Astyanax mexicanus: one gene and its partners. The protein of the gene in region 1 interacts with the protein of each later gene in a pairwise test. Links are inferred from orthologs where the notes say so. Each region holds a gene or a part of one and is shown on either strand. Other genes may lie near its edges.

Evidence for each region.
Region 2: the proteins of cdc5l (region 1) and crnkl1 interact in a two-hybrid assay, tested with the Homo sapiens proteins (2 studies listed by IntAct). The link is inferred for Astyanax mexicanus from reciprocal best matches to the Homo sapiens genes CDC5L and CRNKL1.
Region 3: the proteins of cdc5l (region 1) and dixdc1b interact in a two-hybrid assay, tested with the Homo sapiens proteins (2 studies listed by BioGRID and IntAct). The link is inferred for Astyanax mexicanus from reciprocal best matches to the Homo sapiens genes CDC5L and DIXDC1.

The regions. Positions count from the first base shown.
Region 1 is NC_064421.1:16,939,470-16,946,439, forward strand, and holds the start of cdc5l (cell division cycle 5-like protein), read left to right. Parts: upstream 1-3,954; 5' UTR 3,955-4,123; coding exon 4,124-4,168; intron 4,169-5,807; coding exon 5,808-5,911; intron 5,912-6,970.
Region 2 is NC_064408.1:84,184,905-84,192,643, reverse strand, and holds the start of crnkl1 (crooked neck-like protein 1), read right to left. Parts: upstream 3,002-7,739; 5' UTR 2,869-3,001; coding exon 2,821-2,868; intron 1,346-2,820; coding exon 1,193-1,345; intron 1,088-1,192; coding exon 996-1,087; intron 894-995; coding exon 735-893; intron 611-734; coding exon 444-610; intron 1-443. UniProt on the Homo sapiens protein: Involved in pre-mRNA splicing process. As a component of the minor spliceosome, involved in the splicing of U12-type introns in pre-mRNAs.
Region 3 is NC_064424.1:9,367,918-9,375,928, forward strand, and holds the start of dixdc1b (dixin), read left to right. Parts: upstream 1-5,010; 5' UTR 5,011-5,200; coding exon 5,201-5,260; intron 5,261-8,011. UniProt on the Homo sapiens protein: Positive effector of the Wnt signaling pathway; activates WNT3A signaling via DVL2. Regulates JNK activation by AXIN1 and DVL2.

The DNA.
Region 1 (6,970 bases):
GCCAATGGGCTCCTGTTGTCCCCTCGCCCAGCTGCCAGCTGTGATGGTGACCCGGACACTGCCTAAAGCTGAAGCTCCTCTGCAGGTCTGTCCTCCGCCAATTCGCCCTGGCATCTGTGTTCTGGCCCTGGCAGGTGGGCTTTCACAATGCAGATACACCCTCCCTTAGCCATTCTCACTGGTTCACTATAGAACTATCTAGAGATTTAGTAAGATCCTCTGATGCACATTTGAGTTTACTCGTCGGTGAAAAGTTTGTTTAAAGCTGTTTATAAGAGAGAAGATATATGTATTGATGAGTGTGTTAGGGCGTATGTGTGTGGGTGTGTGGGTGTGTGTGTGTACTTAACGATTTTCAAAGCTCTCCTTGAGGAACTCCAGTGTTTACAGTTACCGTCCAGTACCTAGTTTATTTAATCAATCCTTCATTAAAGTAAATCAGAAGAGTTGCTGGTGGGACTGAAACAATCAATACAGTCACTAAAGTTCACACAGAAGTCAGAAACCAAACCTGAGTTTTGGGTTCTTCTAAAGCACACATCAATCTTGTAGACCCTGTTTACACCAGGTCAAATTACTTCCCAGCTAACAGAGAACTTTCTAAGAACCTTTAACAACATTTTAAAATGGTTCAAGGAAGGATAACCTGTAATGTTAAAGAAATAATGTTTCAGGAATGTTCTAAAAACATGTGACATTATAGTGGTTTGCATCATAATGTTATTAGAATGTTATTAGAACCCTTGTCAAGTGACTTCCCAGCTAACAGTAAACTTTCTAAGAACATTTTAAACAACATTTTAAAAAGTTTTCAGGAAGGTTAGCCTGTAATGTTACAGAAACAAAGTTCCAAGAAAGTTCTGAAAACATGTGACATGATAACGGTTTGGGGTTGTATCTGCACTGTATCTTGATCAGATCATTTTTAACCACATGCATTTCCACTTGATAGTCAAATGAATTTTGATTGAATCACATCATATTCTAATTGTTGTTGCCTTTTTGTGGTATGGCCTTATCCAGATATAATCTTGATTACCTTAGTGTCTAAGAACTGAGAATAGTCCACCGACTGCCCTGTAGGCAGGGTGTTTAAAAACTCCAGCAGCACTGCTGTGTATGATTCATTCATAGTATTAAAACACACACTACTCAAACACACCTGCTCTGTGGTTGTCTCTCCTTTGGGATCCTAACCATTGAAAAACAGGGTGAAAAGAGGATCATAAAGTATGTAATGAAACAAATACAAAACTAAAATCTGTAAATAAAGACCTATAAAGTGTAGAAACAAACAGGTAATCATATTTGAATGTTGTGCTTGACAGGTGTATGAAGTATTTTATAAGAAACACTGCTGATATAAACTGTTTTCATACGTTTTTAACTTGGAAACAGTACTCTCCCATGTTTTGTGCAATGTGAAGAACACTAAACAAGATCCACTTTGAGTGTCTTAGTTCAACTAGCAGCTGCTGGATGGTGAACACAGAGGAATACAGAGGCAGTGCACTGCTGGATAAGCTGCCTGAAGCCATCATGTTTTCATACAGCTCTTGGCATTTTCTCAAGCAGCTTTTCCCACAGAAGCAAAGAGGTTTTTCATATGCTGACTCGCTAATAACGTTTAAAACACATTCATATATAGGGGAGTTATTTGTATTTTCATCAGAAATGTTGAATTTAATCGTGTGAACATCTGTGTTCACATTGATAAAGGTTTCAATGTGCATTTTTTGTGCATCTATGAAAGGTGTGTTGAAACTTGTGTTTAGGAGACTGTAAATCAGTTACAGTGGAATATGTTAAAGATGAACAGTGAGAAAATAATAAACAGATCAAAACTGCTGATAATCCCCCATAAGTGGCCATAAGATAAGATAAGATAAGATAAGATAAGATAATCCTTTATTAATCCCACAATGGGGAAATTTACCATGTTACAGCAGTGCAGAGTAAAGGACAGAGAAACAGGTCAGGAAAAGGTAAATACAAATAATGATAAATCTATATATACAAAAAAACTATTGCAGGAAAATATATAAAGATAGTTAAAAAAATTATATATAGTAAAAGAAAAAATATATATACATCTAGTGCATAGAGATATGATTATGGTAGGGTGGACCAGTATTATTGCACAAGAGTAACAGTGAATAAATATCAAATAAATAATAGATAAAAACAAAAGTGAGAAAAAAATATTGCACATTAAATAAATTGCACAAATGGTGATCACAGTACTCGTAGTGAGATGGATATTGCACACGGTAAGCATTACAGCTACACTGAGTAGTATGTAGGTTGTATGAAGTCCTGGGAGCGTGGTGTGTTGTATAGTCTGATGGCGTGTGGAAGGAAGGACCTGCAGTATCTCTCCTTCACACAGCGTGGGTGCAGCAGCCGGGTACTGAAGGAGCTGCTCAGTGCTGTCAGAGAGTGGTGCATGGGATGGGACAGGTTCTTCAGCATGTTGTTAAGCTTAGTCCTCATCCTCCTGTCTCCCACCACCTCCACTGGGTCCAGAGGACACCCCAGGACAGAGCTGGACTTCCTGATGATTCTGTCCAGTCTCTTCTTGTCAGCGGTGGAGATGCTGCTGCCCCAGCAGACCACTCCATAAAAGATGGCTGATGCCACCACGGCATCAAAGAAGGCCTCTGACCTTTCCTGTAGAGAGCAGCCGTGTTGTCAGTCCAGCTTGTTGTTAAGGTGGACACCTAGGTACTTGTAGGACCTCACTATCTCAATATCCGAGCCCTGGATGTTCACAGGCACCGGAGGAGAGTGTTTGGTCCTGCAGAAGTCCACCACCAGCTCTTTGGTTTTTAAATGCCTGATTACAAAAGAAAGCTTTTGCACTTGCATTGCATTCAACAAACCAGTTACTCTAATCAGACTTGCAGTAAGTGTGTTAAAGCAGGGACAGGGTGTCTCCAGGACAGGGACTGATAAACACTGAGTTAGCTCAGCAGCATCAGCAGCTCAAATAGCCAGTCAGAACTGTGGGAGACTCCATTCACTAGGTGGCAGTACAGAGCTCCAGCACGCCATTCACAAACTTACAAACTTATAGGAACTAGACAGAAACAGGGTTGCCATGTTGAGAAAAAAACTTATTGTAAACGTACATTTGTTGTTGAAATCATGCATATTTAATCCTATTTTAATATGTTTAATATTAATGTAATTAGATTTTTGCTATATTCGGGGCTTTAAATTTTGCTGTATTTTTAAATTGTACCAAAAATGTGCATTATGCCAGGAAAAGTGTACATATAGTGCTGTATGATATAACATTAAATGTTGTTTTGCCAAGTTAAAACTTCAGCTACTAAATGTACCCCCTAATACTTAGACAATCACTTTCAGGCTTATCTGAAGTTACACTGAAATACATATTATTTATATTTGTGTAACAATTTCTCTTTTATTTGTGTGTAATTAAATATACCTATTATATATATTATGTAAAATAGTTTATTATATATAGTTTATTATTTATATATATATAAATAGTATATTATATATATATATATATGAGTGAGTTAGCGAGTAAGTTTTGCTCTCATAAAAAAAACCTTCACATTTAATTTGAATTTGAATTGAGGGATATGGAAAAGCCTCTGCACTTAGCCTTATTTAAAGTTATATTATTTATGTAACAATATGTCATTTAATTGAGTGCAAATATATTATTTTTTATGTATTAATAATTTAAAGTAATTAAAAGTGTCACGTTTAACTACACTTTAAATTCCCTCTACTTGTTTAAAAAATATTAGTATAATATTATGAATATAATATGTATTGTATTCTATATATTGTTTAGTTAGTGAGTTAGTGTGAGGTAAGTCTGTCTTTTTTAAATCAAAAACTTCACATTGAATACCCCCTTGGATGGATTATAGGGATTTTAACGTCAATAGCACGAATCTGGCAACCCAGTGAACAGAAGCCATTTGCTGTGGGCCAGCGCTGCGTTAGCGGGGCCGTGTTTTAGCTGCTGCTCTGCTTTCTGAGACGCACCGCAGTTACCCCGGGTCTCCTGGAGCTCCTGTATCGCTGTTAATACAGCGCTGTTTATAGTTCAGGGTGCGGGTGTGAAGAATAAGCTGCCAAGATGCCGCGAATTATGATTAAAGGAGGCGTTTGGAGGAACACTGAGGTGAGCGCTGGGTTAGCAGTGTGGTGCTGACAGGCTAAGCTAACGGAGCTCGGCTATGCTAGGCTAGCAGCCCTGCTTTAGCTGTGAAGTGTGAAGTTAGCGTGTTTAAGTTACTACAGCGTTAGCTGTGTCGTACATATAACTATATTTTATTGGTTTAAACAGTATTAGTCAGTGTTTCTGACACACAAATACACGGGCAACATGTATTCGTTAGCTAGCTAGCTAGTTTACAGATACAGGTAGCATGCTAGCTAGCTAGGTTAGTTAGCTGGACTTGTTAAGTAGCTAACGCTAGCTGTGTGGCAGCAGTGTTTGTGTGGGTGCAGGTTGAGCACCTCTGGACTGAGTTAAAACCTAACGTTATATTAACTGTTGATCTATCTGTTAACATTACATTTTTGCCCTCAGTCCTGAAACTGCACAGCTTGTTTTTTCTGCTCTAACTCGCCTTGTTTAAAGCCAAAATTAGTCCTCGTGTGCAGATAAACACCAAACTACAATACACTGCACTGATCTGGCGTTAAGTAACGTTAGACTAATCAGCAAACTAGTTAGTGTGATCGAGGCCTTTGTAGGTCTTAGTAGCAACACATTCTGACCACCAACTGATTTTTTGTGTATTTATGATAAGCCAGTGCTACTGAAGTGTTTAAATACCACCGGGTTCATCATCTCAGTGTCTTAGGGCTGCATCGATTAGTCGACATAATCGGCAATGTCGATTATTTAAAATCGTCGACTACACATTTCATTGTCGACTAACTTAATTGTTAATTTGCAACAGTACCGCATTACACAAAGTGCAGAGGACATAAGTGCAATGGAAGATGAGTAAATGGTTCACTCAAATAGTTTACACTCAACTTAGTCTCTAAAAGTGACCAAAATCAAATCTTATGTTCAACTTTTTCTATCAATTTTAGAGGTGGAGGACATGGCAGAAATAATCGTTGACTAATCGACTAGTCTGATGATTAAATCATTAGTTGCAGCCCTAGTCTGAGATTTTGAGAAAAGTCCACATACAGTGCTTAAAGACTTCAGCAGCACTGCTGTGACTGATCTGCTCATACCAACACAACACACTAATACCTGACCATTGAAGAGGAAACTGTTTAAAAGGAGGATAATAATAATAATAATGTGTGCAGAGAAACAGAAAGACTATAGTCTCTAAATACAAAACTCCAAAGTGATAAATGAGTGTGGAATCAAACAGGTGATGCTTGCAAAACGTAAATGAAATTTAAACAGTACTCTCCCATTTTTTTACAACTTGAGGGAAAGTAAATAATATCCAATTTTTGAGTGCCTTAGTCTATCTAGCAACTGCTGAATAGTGAACACAGAGGAAATCATAGGGAGCTTCCTGAAGCCATCATGTTCTGATTTATTTGCGAAGCACTGTTGTAAGTCACTCTGGATAAGGGCGTCTGCTAAATGCCTTTAATGTAAATGTAGTTAGTAAGTTATTTAGGTAAGCATCAAGTTTGTCAAACTAGCTGACAAATCTAAACACAATACAGCCACTCCTTAAAAAGATTTATTAGTACTAATTCCAGAAAATGTATCCAGTCATTGTAAAATATTTGTGAACTTAACAATCTGTTCTTTTTCCCCTGTTATCTTTCTGTAGGATGAGATCCTTAAAGCAGCTGTAATGAAATATGGCAAAAATCAATGGTCCCGGATTGCCTCTTTGCTGCATAGAAAGTCAGCTAAACAGTGTAAAGCTAGATGGTAAATCTGTTCTTGTTCTCTCTCAGTGCTGAGTGTTCTGTTTGTTGTTCTGCTGAAGGCTTTTTTTAAATATACTGATTAGTACTAACATTTTAAATTACTTGTGGGTGCTCTTAATGATGCCAAAACCAGTTCTGAACTATTGATGTCTGAGTTCAACACTTCTGAATGTGTCCAGTGACGGTCTGGTCTGGTAGGGCTGGGTATCACCACAGATTTCCAGAATCAAATCGCTTCAATTTAGTTTATTTGATTTAATCCAGTTCAGTATCAATTTGTTTAGGGATATTACCGTTACAATAACAGGTTTTGTTTATATATAAAAAGAGATTTTCAGTGAGCTAGTGTAGCAAATGTAAAAGGAACACTCAACCTTAAAAATATTAGTTAGTACTTGAGCTTCTTAGTACTTGATGTGCAGTAAAAAGACTGTTTGATCACATAAGATCAAAGAATAAGAGTGTTAAAGATTTACACAAAAACACATGGGGGAAATAAAAAGATTTTAAAAGACTGAATTCGAGTTTATGTGAATCAATATCGAGTCATTTAACTGAAGATTGCTTTGACTCGAAAAATATATATTTTTTTTAACCCTCCCCTAATATCTGACATCATAATGTTAAGAGCTTCTGTAAGATGTGAATTGTTTGTCTAACATGTCACACAGATGCTCAGTCTGATTGAGATGTGGGGTAATTAGAGTTCAAGTCAACACCTTGAACATTGAGATGTTCCTTGTACTGTTCTTGGACTGGATTTGCTGGATTTAGCTACTGTTTCCCAGCAGATTACCGCTTGCCTTCTCCAGTGTGCATCATATTGCCATCTTTTTCTCATGTGACTGATGTAAATGTGACTGATGTATATGTGCCTGTCTATCAGGCACAGGATGCAAAAGAAAATGTGATTTATTAGACCAGGCCATTCTTCCATTACTCCAAAGTCAGGTTGCCTTTGACAGTCAACACCATGTTTGTGTGTTCAGACATGTTCCTGCCATGGCCAGCTATAGCTTGTCAACCATTTGTTCTGCCGTAACTCTTGCATCAGACCAGA
Region 2 (7,739 bases), on another chromosome or scaffold:
TTAAATTAAACGGAATACTAGTGAAAAACAGAGTAAAAGAACATAATAACAAGAATGTAGCTGTAGCCAAATGGTACATAGTGTAACACAGATGATTTCATTTCATTTAATTTCAAATTTAAAAAATAAATAAATAAAAAATAAAGGTTTGAAAAATAAACCTCTAAACCTTACTGCAAATTAAAAAAAAAAATAAAGTGAATTTTATCCTGTTCTTCATTACACATCATTCTTTACTTTTTTTTAATTAATGATAAATAATGACCAAAACAATTTGAAAAACAAAAATACCATAACTTATTCTGTAATTTTACTATAGCCAACATTGGGTGATCAATGCAATCACATAACTCAGCAAACTGCAAAACTCATTAAAGATCAGGCAACTATTGCACACCATGCTACAATAAAATATCTAAAAGCTAAAATATATAAAAGGATATATCTCTCGTAGATGGTGCGGGCTTTGTCCACCTCCTTGTAGCGCAGCTCGAAGTTGATGTACGAGTGCCAGGCCTGTTCTTCTGGCTCCCACTCCATCCAGCGTTCAAACACCTGCCTGCAGCCGGCTACGTTCCCCAGCATCTCCTCCATGTAGCTGTATTTGTACCTGTAAATTCATTCACACCAAAGCTCACTACATGTAAATTGAAGCCAGTTTAGAATAAATGTTTTCAGTCTTCCTGTAGCAAATGTTTCTCTGTCAAAAAATTGGACAACAGAAGTGTTATTACCAGAACTGGTTGACTCTTGGCAGGATGGTTATGGCTCGGTCCCAGATGTTGCGAGCATGGTTGACCTGGCGACTCTTCATCTCCATTTCGGCATACTTCAGCCACAGTGTGACATTGCGGTGATCTACATCCAGCGCTCGCTCGTAAATAGAGCGAGCTCTTTAAACATGAATGACAGAAACAAAAGGTTTATTTTCATGTTCTTGAACATAAAAAACATGCATTTAAATATGAGTCTAACAGAATGATTAATGATAATACCTCTGGATTTCTTTCAGACTCTCCTCCCATTGTGCGTACTTTATCCAGTTGCTTATGACAGTCCTGTTCTTTCTGATATGGTCTTCAAATCCCTTTTGAGGTGATAAGAATATTGGTGATGGTTTAAACAGGAAGGTAAAATCAATGACTTTGTTAAAACAGATTGTTAGATTTTAACATGAAGCACGTTCTCTTACCTTGCGTTTTCGTAACTTGTAGTCATTTAACTCTTCTTCATCAGTGATCTTCTGTTTGGGTGGTGGAGGAAGAAGCTCGAGTTCTCTCTCCTTGGCTTCTCTCAGAAGCTGCTCAGCAGTTATCTGCACCTCTGCTGGGGCTTTATTTTTCACCTGTGGGAGCAAAAAAATGGTTAATTAAGCCACCAATGTTATGACATACTGCTAAAACTTAACACATAATATCCCATTTATTAATTATTTATCTATTAAAAACGACAAAATTGAATATTGTACTATATATATATTTTTTTATGAGTTTAAATTTAAAACACACTACTTTATATAGTCAGGTAAAATGCCATACTCAAAAACTGAACAGGATAAAACACTCTGCATTATATTTTAGAGTAGATAAGCTACACAACCACAATTACAATTACTTATCAAAAACATTTTTTCTCACTTTGAATGGTGTCCATACAGATATGCCATCACTATTATTTCATCTGCACTTTGGCTTAGTGGTTACCATGTTCATCTCCCAGCACTGGGGTTTTGGAATTAAGGCCCTATCTGGATGGAGTTTCCAGTTCAAAACATGAAGTGTTTCGTTGGTGTCTGAAAAAGCGCTGTATGTGTGTAACTTAATTCATTAACTACTATTTTTAACTACACACTATTATACAGTTAGATTCCACCAGCGGTACAGTGTTGTACCTTGCAGTTTGTCATGCCAAAAATATTTATCTATGTATGCCTTATCTGAAATTACCTATAAAATAAAAAATGTATTTATATTATTATGTATTATTTAATCTACGCATGCAGAAACTCAGATTTTCCATACGATACGAACACTTATTCACGATACACTAAAATGTCGATATATTGTGAAGCTCTACTTGCAGTATATGTTTTTTTCTATAGTTTTATACTCTAGTGTTAAAAGTTTAATACTTATTTGTTCCAGGTAGATATCAACACATGGTGGGGCTCCTATTACTGGAGGTTCAATTCCTATCTTCATTTATACAGAAGCAAGCTAGTTTCGAGTCTGGGGAAAACATACTCCAAAACCTAACTAGCTGCTACATTCTGCAGCCAGTGAAAGATAGATTTGCTGGACAATGAATACATACTAATGATAAACTTATGATAATGGCTCAAATAAGAGCTTAAAGTTATTGTGTTATTGTGACAATTTGATTAGCTAGCTAGCTTAGCTAACTACAGACCACACTCAACGGCAAACTTAGGGCTGTGCTCCAATTCGCCTATTTGAGTTCTAAGTAGGATACTTATCAAGTGTGTAGAAGTGAAGAAGAATGTTTCGCTGCACTTCAGCGGCTAGTACGTTAAACAACTGACTTAATCTAGCTTATTTCAGTTCAGCTCACGTCGTTGTTCCCAAGCTACTTAACGGTATGTGTGTACGAGAGTGTTTAGCATATTTAGCTCCGGTGAAATAGCCAGCTAACGTTAACTACCAGCTTACAACTGGTCCTTTCCCACTTTTGTTTTCTAGTTAGTGTGCGAGTGTGCAGTGCGCAGACCCTCCAATTGGTACACGTCCGTTAGCAACGTTAGCTTATCCTAGCTTATTTAGCTAACCAGCAGGTTTACTACTAACAGACACTAAAACTCACCTTGGCCACTTTGGGTATTCTCTGTTTCCCAGCAGCGGTGGACGCCATATCTGCAGAATACCTGACACCACAAAACTACAAGAACTCTGAGAGAAGACCAGGCTGTAAATATATAAACACAGAGAGCTTCAGCTAACTGGCTAACACTCTTCCACCATGGCCAGGGCTTCCGCCATTACGTTCGTCTACAAAACGGACGTCCAACGTAAGACGGAAACGTGCATACGTCATGACGCATGGTTGCCATGACAACAGGACGCCCAGCGCTAAAGTGGTTTTGAACTGGTTAGTTTGGATTAATTTACTCAGATTGTGTACATTTCTTTGCTCTTTTGGGTGAGTGACTTTCTTTCTGTTGAATTATCTTTTTACTATTTATTTTTCCTGACAAAACGACATTTTTTAGCTCAGAGAACTATAGGAGAATATAGTACAACCAAATGTGCAGGACATTTCGCTTTTAGGTCGAGTTGTGCTACCCTCTCAAACAGTGCTACCCCAGTGTATATTTAAACGTAAGAATTGTAAATACTCTCGGTAGGATTTGAAACGCCTAAATCAATAGTTATATCAGGATCCATTTAATGGTTAATCAGAGGTTTTGTTGCTCACATAAATTTGGTGCTCACATAAAATTTCCGCGCATGCGCACTGGTGTTAAGAAGCACATTTCGACACGTAGCACAATTCGACAGAACACCGCACAAAAACACTGCAATGTCCGAATGAACGCTGTATATAAACAAACAGAGCTGAGGGAGAAAGGATAAAATAAATGCACGCATAATTTTTTGTGTAGATAAATTACTAAATACGTTTTGTCATAAAAAGTACACACTTTAAATTATATCAGGGATCTATTTTCATATTCCCATGCATGAACATTTATTTGGGGCTGTTTCTGCATTTATTTATTTATTTAATTATTTACTTCCACATTTATTTATATGTGTATTTATTTAATCTCACATTTCTTCATTTATTTGTTTATTTTTACCTTTGTATTGTGGCGTGGAAGAGGAAGGAAGACCCGTGAGACTCATGCTGAATGCTCAACAGCTCCTTTATTGAACTGGCTTGCCACTCACTTACAGTCTTTAACAAGACTAGGAGAGCTAAAACCATACCCACAGAGCTCAAACAGCCCAAAGGCCACCAACACAGCTGTGTGTCTCCCAGATGGCAGATCCAGAGTGGTGCCCACCCTCTCTGCATAACCCCTCCCAAGGGAGATGCCCCACCCCTGTCATCCTCACACACAGGAGAACAGAACATGCCTGCAGGCAGCCACACACACAACCCAGAGCCGCCACATAGCCCCCCTCCCAAGGGTCAGCCGTCCCGGCGACCCCACCAACCCAACACAAACCCCGCGTACAACAGAACATTTTTTTATTTTTTATTTTTATTTTTTTACAATCAGTCGCAAACAAAGTCATTAAGGCGGGCGGGCGGCCTCCGTGCCCGCGGCGGCCTGGAGGGGCCGGGCACGGCACCGCCTGCCAGCGGCTCCGAAGAGCCAGAGTTCAGGTCAGGCACGAGTGCAAGGCCGGCAGGTTCCGCACCACCATCCACAGTGTCCGACAGTCTCGGCCTATAGGGGGCCAGCCTATCACGGTGCACAATCATAGTGCGTCTGCCCCACCGGATCTTATACACCAACTCCCCCAGCCTGGACAGCACCAAGCATGGACCCACCCAGGCCGACTGGAGCTTCGGGCACAGTCCCTTCTTCCGCTGAGGGTTATATAGCCAAACCCTCGCCCCCACCGCCAACGGGTCCCCAAAGCAGCGCGTGTCGTACACACGCTTCTGCTTCTGTCCGGCAGCAGACTGGTTGGAGCGCGCTAGACGGTTTGCTAATTCCAGCGAAGACATAAGGTCCGAGACAAAAGTGGGCGTGTCCGAAGCGTACCCGCCCCCGTCAGGAGGCGCCCCAAAAGCCAGGGAGACCGGCGTCCTCAGTTCGCGCCCGAACATAAGCAGAGCCGGCGTGAATCCCGTCATCTCCTGCACAGCGGAGCGACAGGCCAGCAGCACTACCGGCAGGTGCCTGTCCTAGTCACGCTGGTTCTTGTCCGACACCATGGCCAACTGCGCCGCCAGCGTGCGGTTAAAACGTTCCACCAGTCCGTCACTCTGCAGATGAAGGGGCGTCGTCCTGGTCTTATGGATTCCCAGGATGCGGCAGACCTCCGCCATGACCTCCGACTCGAAATTTCTCCCCTGGTCGCTGTGCAGTTCTTCCGGAACCCCGAATCTGCAAAAGAACTCCCGCACCAGGATATCCGCAGTAGTGACCGCCCCTTGGTCCGGCACCGCGTAGGCCTCTGACCACTACGTGAAATAGTCCATCACCACCAGAACAAAGCGATTTCCAGAGTCCGTCACCGGAAAGGGGCCCAGCACGTCCACGGCCACCCGCTCCATCGGGCTGCCGCACTGGTAAGGGTGAAGTGGGGCGCGGGGCGCCCTCGAGGGGCCCTTCTTGGCAGCGCACACGTCACAGCAGTGCACGAAGAGTTCCACGTCGGTTCTACACCCAGGCCAATAGAAGCGTTGCCTCAGGCGCTTCAGAGTCTTGGTGACACCAAAGTGCCCAGCCCCAGGTGACCCATGAACTCCCCGTAGGACCGATCCCCTAAGCGCCCGTGGTACCACCACCTGAAAAACGCGCCGCCCGTTCGCCGGATCCTCCCAGGTATGGCACAGCACGCCGTCGGACAAAGTCGGTTCCGTGCGCCAAGACATCATCCAAATAAACGACGCAGCACGACCGCGGAACCCCACATAAAACACGCTCCATAAGACGCTCAAAAGTAGCCGGCGAGTTACACAATCCGAATGGAAGCACCGTGAAATGCCATAGGGCTGAGCCGAGCGAGAAAGCGGTTTTCTCCCTATCCCCCGCCGCGAGGGGCACCTGCCAATATCCACTCCTCAGGTCTAACGAGCTGAACCAGGCTGAGCCAGACAGCTGGTCCAGCGTATCGTCGATCCTGGGGAGCGGGTAGGAGTCAAGCTTCGTGACAGCGTTAAGTCGCCGATAATCCACGCAAAAGCGCCAATTTCCATCCTTCTTTTTCGCAAGGACCACCGGGGACGACCACGGGCTGCTCGAAGGCTCAATAATGCCCGTACTCGCCATCTCGCGGACTAACTGCTCCGCCGCTACGCGCTTTGCTAACGCCAGACGGTGCGGCCTCAGCCTGATGGGCTGGGCGTGTGGCCACGCCCCCCGCAGCGCCAGCACTCCAGTTGGGCATCAGACTGGCTCCGACCCCACCTCTGCGAATCACGGGCAACCGGCGACGCCCCCCACGGTCCAGGATGGCTTGAGAGGATGAGTTCGGACCGCTCCGCCACCTCCACCGCGGACTCCAGGGTCTGCGGGTCGGCCAGCCTCACGTGTTTGCGCAGCTCGCTCGGCTCGAGGGCGCGCAGAAAGTGATCCAACGCGAGCCTCCTCTGGGCCGCTCGCGGAAACGTTGGGTAAGTTTGGCGGGTTAGCAGGGCCATCTCCGATGCCAGCACGCCCAGTGTCTCTCCCTGCTGTCGGCGTCTGTCCGCCACTAGCATTTTGGCGGCCGCCTCTGACGGTTGGCGGCTGAAACGTGTTCTCAGCGCCCGCGTCAGTTCGGGCAGCTCGCAGCGGCACTCGGCGGGGAGCTCGATCAGTACCCTCAGCACGTCGCCCCGCAGCGCCAGGCAGAGGTTGGCTGCCGTCTCGGCGTCCGTCCAGCCCGCACCGCCCGCCACGATCTCAAGCTGAGCTTCGAAGGCTGTTCAGTCAGCGCTGCCGTCGGAGAGGGTAAGGCGGGGTTGAGCCGTGAAGCCCGCCATCCCGGAGGCTTGCGCCGCCATCATCGCGCCGTCCGTTCCGCGAGTCGGCGCCGCTGTCCTTGCGCCATCCGCTCCGTGAGCAGCTGAGCAGGCGTTTCTCAACAAGAGGAATTTCGGCCTGAAATCGCTGCTCTGATTTTCGGTTCCTACTGAAGATTTATTCCGCCAGCAAAACGGAGAGAACAGAACTGAACTGAGCTGATCTGAGGTAAAATACTCCACTACACCAGCAGCTACCCCACTATAGTACTATCCTTACAGAATTACCTTTTTTTAGAAAACTATATATTAAAACTGAGGAAATTATTTATTAAATTAACAGATTTATGACAACTAAAGAATATTTTTTTTAAATTAACAGAACCTTTTATTGAAACAAAGGGAATTATTTATTAAAGTTAACATAACGATTTATTACAACTGAAGAAAGTATTTAATACATTTAACGTAACGATTTATTCAAACTGAGGTATGGAATTTGGAACGATTTAGTTAAAACTGAGAGAATTATTTATTACATTTTACAGAAAGATTTATTAAAACTGAGGGAATTATTTATTAAATTAAGAGAAAGACTGTTTATTAAATCAAGAGGATTATTTAATATATTTAAGTAAACATATTAATTACATCCAAGGAATTATTTATTACATTAAGTTAACAATATTTTAAATTATGGACAAATATATTTATATTATATAATATATTGTAAGAGAATGATTTACTACATTAAGGAAAATAATTTATTATATTTAAGTAAACCCATTTATTGTAATATGAAATAATTATGTTAAATAATTGTACTTAATAATAGTTATAAAATATATAAAGATTTATTGTTTGTGAAACGTCTGTACGACTGTTTATGGTTTAGGAATTGTGTAGATTGGCTGAACCCTTGTTTCTGTACGTGCCGTATTAGGAAAACGCCCACCAGCGACAGCTCGTTCTGAGTGAGACACGTCCACAAGCGACTCATCGCCTGTTGCACAGGCGACACAGAGCGATTTTATCGCGTTCGGTGTGAACGTACAGTAAGCCGGACGACGCGGCACATTATATTTAAAGTCCGCTAA
Region 3 (8,011 bases), on another chromosome or scaffold:
ACAGTAAGTCAGAATATTAAGTTATTTTACTACTTAATACAATTTTAGCTTTCTATTTTTTTTTTATATTAATACAATCTGTTATGAAACAATTTTAAATCACTGCATTGTGAATTGAAAGGCATTTGGCCTTCTGTATGTAAAAAACAACACAAACAAAATTCAGTTTTTTTTTTCATTACAACCATATAATGTTTTTTTTATATATAATTATTATAATTATGTTCTGCATTGTAGATTATTAATTGACTAATAAACTATGAAGAAAACCCTTATTTTAATATACTCTAGATTATTTAAAGTAGCTCTTCTAATCTAATATTTTAGATTAGCTTTGCACATCTTGGCACTTTCTCAGTCAGCTTTATGAGGTAGCGTCACCTGGACTGGCTCTCACCCATGCCCATGCTTTTCTACATTACAGGGGCGGGGCCAAAGGGGCAATCGCCTCTGCTGAAATCTGATTGGCCCCCTGAAGTGCCCCTGTCTTGCCAATCATTTTGTCCAGGCACAGTTAAAATCCACGTAAAATTGTTAATGATATTTTTGGGCAAAACGTTTTAAACAAAAATAAAAATCTGCAATCTACAAGACAAAAGCAAACGAGAGACTCCAGAAGCAAAAGACTTTAGCAGTGAAATCCATAGACATCTCCAAAAACACAAAAATAAGTGCAGGCGCAAGGAATAATAAAGTATTAATTAAAGTATCTCCCTCTCTCTCTCTCTCTCTCTCTCTCTCTCTATATATATATATATATATATATATATATATATATATATATATATATATATATATATATATATTTTTTTTTTTTTTTTTTTTTCTTTTTTTACTTTGAATTTGCAACACACTTTTTTCCTTATTATTCTTAAATTTTTTATTCCTGATTTATTTTTTGTGTAACTCCATATATTTAATTATAAATGACATTCAAGTGTTGGAACATGGTGAGACATGAAATTATAATAATGCTCCTCTATTAATAGTATGGCTCATGATGGCCCTTTTACTCCTATCATAGATATAGAATATATATATATATATATATATATATATATATATATATATATATATATATATATATTATTCTGTGTATATAAACTTAAAATTAACTCCATTGGTTTTAAATAGGAGCACATCCCCCTCAAAACCCCCAACCCCCCCTCCCCGGTCCGTTTCTGGTAGTCATGGATACGGAAACAGACGGGCTGAGAGAGAAAGGGAGGATCTGAGATTCACTTTTAGGGAAAATGCACTTTGCGGCTCCTTGAACTGGAATTTTCTGTTATATTAGACTGGCTGTCTTCCATAGAGTGAATTAACCCCCGGTAAGTTAACTAAACTACTGATAACGGTGATTAACTATCTTTTAAAGCGGCTCAACTAGATAAATTACTATTTTAACGTTTAGTTGTTAGCTAGCAAAGCTGGTTAAGCTAACCCGCTAACCTTATTTAAGATTTACGCTAGTTAGCGTTAGGGTTATTAGCTATCCTAGCTAACTAGCTGTCTATAATAACTCAAAAGTCCCGTCGTTTTGTTTTGTTAGCCTTAGTTAGCTAAAGTGGATGCAGCTGGCATAATTTAACGATTTAACGGCTTTAGTTTCAGAGCCTAGTTGCACCTGTTAAACCTCTTAAATGTCCTAAACTAGTTCATTTATTTTTAAGCGAATTGGTTTGCTAGATAGGTCTACTAACTAAGCTAGTTTAACTGGGTCAGTTTAACGACAGTTCAATTTCCTGAGTGATTGTTTGGTGTAAAACGTCTTCATTATTTACTTTTGTCCATTTGTTTAAGTAAAAAAAAAACATGGGGTTTCATCAGTATTTTAAATGTATAAAAGGGCTGGGCAATACTGTAAAAAAGTCAATATTCTTTAAAAATCAAAAAATATTTTCCCCTCTGGACTTTAGGTTCTGAGAAGCAGAATTGTAAAGTAAATGTCAAAATGAAATCATGAGATTTTACACCTAGTCTTGTGTTTTCGATTTTAGCCTCAAAGAAATATACAAAGAAAAATGGTCAGAAATATAAACCAATAAACATTACACTGTTGTTTTGTGGGAGTAAATGTATCTACTGTCCATTAAAGGCATTCTACTAAATTTAGGAGAATTGCTGTGAGGATCTGATTGTATTCAGCAACAAGAGTGTTAAAATTGTGACAACAGGTTGTTTTGGTGATCACTCAGCTCATCCCAGAACTATTTGTGTAGATGAGCACCGTCAATCCAAAGAACACAGTTTCATTGCTTCACTGCCCCACAGCTTAATTCTGGAGTCTTTATATGACTCTAACCACAGGCATTATGCATGGTACCTATAGGTTTGTGTTATTTTACCTGCTCCATAGAGTCCTAGTCTTTTGGCAGTACTTCTTCACAGGGACTAGACAAGCTGTGTGTGTGCATTTACACATCTGTATCAGTAAAGGGTGCAACTGTCTGGATGCAAGTGTTTTCTGAATGCATCCGTTAAAAAGTTATGTAAAACGTTTGTACATATAGTGTCCATTATCATGAACCTGCAGTGTTTATTTTGTCTCTAGTTTTAACTGTGATTACTCCCTTACACACCACATACCATCAGCTAGTCAATAAGTAGGTTATCTATCCCTGTCAGAATAGGTAAAACATATTTAGAGACATGAAATATTCCTTCAGTTTTACTTATTTAACAAAAGCTATAGAATGGTGGGATGCCATAAGAGAACTGACCTTTTAGAAGTGACCTTTTATTATTTAACTGATATGTGTGCTCTCTATTTTGAAGGCTGGTGATATGCCTCGCTCCTCGGCTGTAGAGAGATCTGTAAGTAACTAACCTTACCTTCTCTTCATCAATTAAAGGACTCTTTGAGACTAACTCATCTGCATATAATCTCAGTGTGTTTAATTTACAGGGACAATCGTTGCAATCCTAATGACTGTATCTTATGTTACAGATAAACACTTAATTTTAGATACGTTACAGTTACCAGTATATGCTGACATCGCTGATTTGTTAGTGCTCCTGATTTAGGTCAGAAATGCATAATACAGTGTAGTCGGGCTACACGCTGAATCAGGAAGCTCTAAACCTGACAGGAAGGATGTGGTCTGGTGGAGCCATACACAAAGCAGCCATGCACAGAACTGCATGCCCTTTACTAATCTTTACTGTTGTGTACACAGAGGGTACGTTTAAGTGGTCATGATTTTTTTTTTACCTTTCACACTGAGGACCTCCTGCTTCCTGCTCTACTGTAACAAGGGAACTCCATAAATGTTATTGAAATTGAAATTGTAACAAAAATGTTACGAGTTTATCTACACTCTCAGCAATTATTAAAGGTTATTGTTATGAAGCTCTAGGTAGCTCTAGTTCTAGGTATGTCACATGAAATAGAGACTATTTTACACTACATGCAGAAATCAAGGGCAGGAATTAGGCCTAATACTGATCTGATTTTGATCTTAAGCACTTTGCACAAACTTCCCAAATGTGAATTCTACATTCGTTGCATAAAATTATGCAGATCAGAAGTTTTAGACAATGTTCTAATGAAAATATGATCTCTGTGATTTTGACTGTGGCATGGTTTAAATAAGAATATAGTTACTGATCTCCTTAAACTTTCTACAGTTTATTGTGCAATACAGAAAAACATTGAGTAAGTGGTATTTTTGCAGATGTAATTATCTTGATGAAAGAGATCAGCAGTGGATAAACAGAGTGGTTCAAACTGACAGAAAGGCTGTGGTAACACAGATAACCCTAAGGTGGCTGGGCAACAGCAACAGCAGACCAGCATCAAGTTCTCCTTAGGTCAGCCAGTAACAGAAAGCTTGGAGTTCAATGGACACAGGTTTACCAAAACACAAAAAACACAGCAGGGTTGACTGAATCCTGATTTCTGCTGTAATCCACAGAAAAAACAGCCTGTACTGTCTCTTTATTAAGTAAATAGCTATCTCATTATTCTGAGATGCTAAATCATCACTTTAAGATACTAGGCCATTATTTTGAGATGGTATCTTATTATTTTGAGATACTTAGTCATTATTCTGAGATGTAGTGTAGTGAGTACATCCCTTACATAAAAATATTTTTTATACATTTTCATGGGACATTTTTGAGGATATAACACTTAAATACACTGTAAAATAGTCAGTGTACAGCTTTTTTAACAGTTTGCATTTGCTAAATAGAATTTTTTTCAAAAACAAAAAACATCTTCAAATAATGACTTAACGTCTTAAAATAACAATTTAGCGACTCAAAATAACAATATAGCGACTTCGTACCTCAAAATAATGACTTAGCATCTTAAAATACTGACTTAGCATTTCAAAAAAATAAGAGAGCATCTCAAAATAACAACTTAATATTTCAAAATAATAAGATACCATTTTAAATAACGACTTAGCATCTTAAAATAGCAATTTGGCATCTTAAGATAATGAGATAGCATCTCAATATTACGACTTATTATCTAAAACAAATTTGAGAGTATTTAAAAATAACAACTTAGTATCTCAAAATAATAAAAGAGCATCTCATAAGAACAACTTAGCATCTCAAAATGCTAAGATAGCATCTCACAATAACGACGATAGCATCTCCAAAAAAATTTGAAAGTATCTCAAAATAACAACTTAGCATCTCAAAATAGTGACTTAATATCTAAAAAATAACGACTTAGTATTTCAACATAATGGGATACCATCTCAAAATAGTGACTTAGCATCTCAAAATAGCGACTTAAAATCTCAAAATAATTAGAGCATCTTAAACTTACTTAATATATCAAAATAACTCCAAGTTATTACGTGCTAAATTAATACTATATAGATTATTAGTAGTAGTATTTTATGAACAGGCGGGAGTTTAGTGCTGTACAGCGTTGTTATTGTAGAGTTGCAGCACTAGCGTTAATCCTGCTAGTGTAAAGCGGGGCCGTAGCCTAGCGACCGCGGAGTGGCCTCGTGTGGAGCATGCGCAGTACAGAAGCTCTAACTCAGTCCACCGCGTATCCTGTTTCTGTAGGGGAGCTAACGGTGGCTGCAGTCGCACATATGGCCATCGCCCGGCCTCGGGGCTTTACTGTGTAGCTTCTTTGTTTGCGGAGTTTACGGGGATGAGGGTGTAGAGCGGACCCGCTGAATCAGGAGGATAACGTGTTCGCTGTTCGCCTCCATGAGAAGGCAGGAGAATGATCGCATCCTTATCCAGAGGAAATGTGCTGGACGTGCTGCAGGAGGGCTTCAATGAGGTACTGGACTGTGGAGGCTAGCCAAAACTTTGTTGTGCAGCAATATCTGTTGCATTGTAGCTCTTGTTGTGGTATAGCGTTCAGCAGGAGGGCTGCTTAAAATGAAGTAACTTGATGCGGATTACTTTTGCAAAACGTAACTAACTAAGTAAACAATTGACTTGATATTATGAGGAGAGAATGGAGGAGATAATTAGCTAATAGGTGTGTCCTAATGAATTGGCACTGAGACGCTGTGGATGACTGACTTGATGGTTTCGACAGCTGCCACTGTTGTGTTAAAAGTCTGCAGTGCTCACTGAAACAGGCCTTACTGATTATGCAGTAGACTGACTCTGACTGGCATGTCAAAATGCAGTGTTAATTATCTCACTAAGCTGATGTAAAACGCTTTAAATAACTTTAAATAACAGCAGTAACTACTGTACTGACCAGTCATTTGTCTATTGACTAGAAGTGGTAGCTTAATTAATTTGTTAGCTAACCTCCCTTTATAAGGACTAGCTTTTGATTATGCTGCATCAAGATGAAGGTAAGCCATCATCAGGGTATGTCAGAATAGGCTTGTGAATGTTTACTGGTGCTGAATAGAGTTATGAATTATGAAATTTGGTCTCACATAGGTCTGTCGTGATAACATTTCATTTTTGGATGATATTTTCCCCAAAATAATTGCATTAAATATTATTGTCATTTTAAGACATTGCAAATATGGATAAATGCAGTTTAAGGGTTTAACTGTTGAATGTATATTTGTGTATATATATATATATACAATTTGTATATGTATATATATATTACTGTGATACTAATCTAGAACAAATCACTGGATCAATATAATATAAATATACATGTTTATACGTAAGAAAGTACCAGTCAGAATGAAATATTTGGACAAAGGTTGAATGTGATTGTATTTTTTTTTACTTTTAAACATTTTATGCCACTGATATTATGATAATATAGTAGCCTACTAATAAAGTTACACTATTTTAAAGATTAATGCATGTTTAATTTTTAGACACTGGAATTGAAATATAAAACATACTTTAATATCCTAAATAAATATAAACAAATACTATTTTGATAAGTTGACACATAGGTTCCTCGCATTCTTACAAGTTATAGTTTGTACAAAAGTTCTTTTCAGGCTTAGTAAACAGGATAGGCAACATTATATGTCAGCAAAAATCATAGAGGTCATGTCCATATACTGTATACCAGACTCTAAAATGTTGATGATATAATAATGGAGCCTTGTCTCACATTGTGATTTTATGCATTATACACACATATGTGTGAACCAATTACAAGCACTTTTTCATCCATGTCAGCACCTGTTGGACTGTGTTACTTGCTGCAGCTGTCTCTGCATTTAACCATACAGCAGAGTCCAGTGATGTCCTCTGTGTCGAGCATAATTTGTTATGTTCCCCAGGTGCTATGATGTTTATCTCCTGCAGTAGGATGGAATATCCCAGACAGCACTGCACAGTACAGTGATGTGCTCAGTCGGCCCGGTCACTGTGGGAACGATCCGCTCGAGCATTATTGCGCCTGGTTGCACTGAGCAAGCTCGGCATTCCAGCCGTACAGCATGGTCAGCAGCTAACACGACCTCCCTGCTGAATGCTCCCTGTGTTAGGCATCCTTTCTTGGAAAGGGAGCCATTCTGGACCACTTTGAGCTTTTAGTGAGGCAGATATGCTCCAGACAGGGCTTCCATTGTCCAAACCTGCCAGCTGTATGCCAAATATGTACACAACATTTAGTCTGGTTTGATTTGCTGAGGGGCCACTAAAGTATCTTTTCTTTTTTGTTTACACAAAAAAAAAAACAAAGGAGAAAAAGGTTGTGCTGTGCCAGCGCTTTTTCAGATCCATGTGGTTTCTCGTTTACCACAGTGTTACTTACAGAGTCGGTCCCTGCTGAGAGTCCCTCTCAAGTGATGTAATTTCATCCTAAAGGTTTTAAGGGATCATTTTAATAGGAAGTCAGGAAGTGAATGTTATCACTGGACATTTTCAACACAGAGCCACAGATTTTCAGTCAGAACCATTTTAAAGTTTTCAAAATCCCCCAGCCTCCTACAGAGATTTCTATTATTTTTATTTGTCTGTACATGACTGATTTGTCATTTTAATCGGTAATCAGTTCCGATTTTTGGTTGAGATTGAATTCAGCAATTTCCACAGCTTAGGTTCATAGATGTAAGTAATTGTATTTATCTGTAATGTAAATGAACTTGTCCTTGAAACAACACAGATGCATACATTGATTAGTTTAAGCACACTGGATTTCGGGTAGCCAGACTGCTGGTGTTGTGTCAAATTCTGTATCCCCACCAAAATCTGACTTCCCTTAAGTGATGTTCTTAATAATAAGTGGACTTGGATTCTGGAAGGGACTTAATTCTGCATGGCACAGGTCCCAAACTAATGACCTGTACAAACAACAGGATCTGGCCATTCAGAGAGCCCACAAATTGGATATGTATTTGATCTAGGACAACATATGAAGGTGATTCCAATATGATTTGAATATATTGGAATTGACATGTCTACACAGATCTAAAGAAATCACATTTAGGGACGGAAAAATGTATTTGAATCACTTTAGTGTGGTAAAATGATTGTATAATAAATCCTATACAACTAAATTGAGTGTTATTGCTAGCAAACATGTTTTGATTAGTGTTTAAAAAGAAGTCAAATCGTACTGCAACCATTTTATTGTTATTGAAAATGAAAA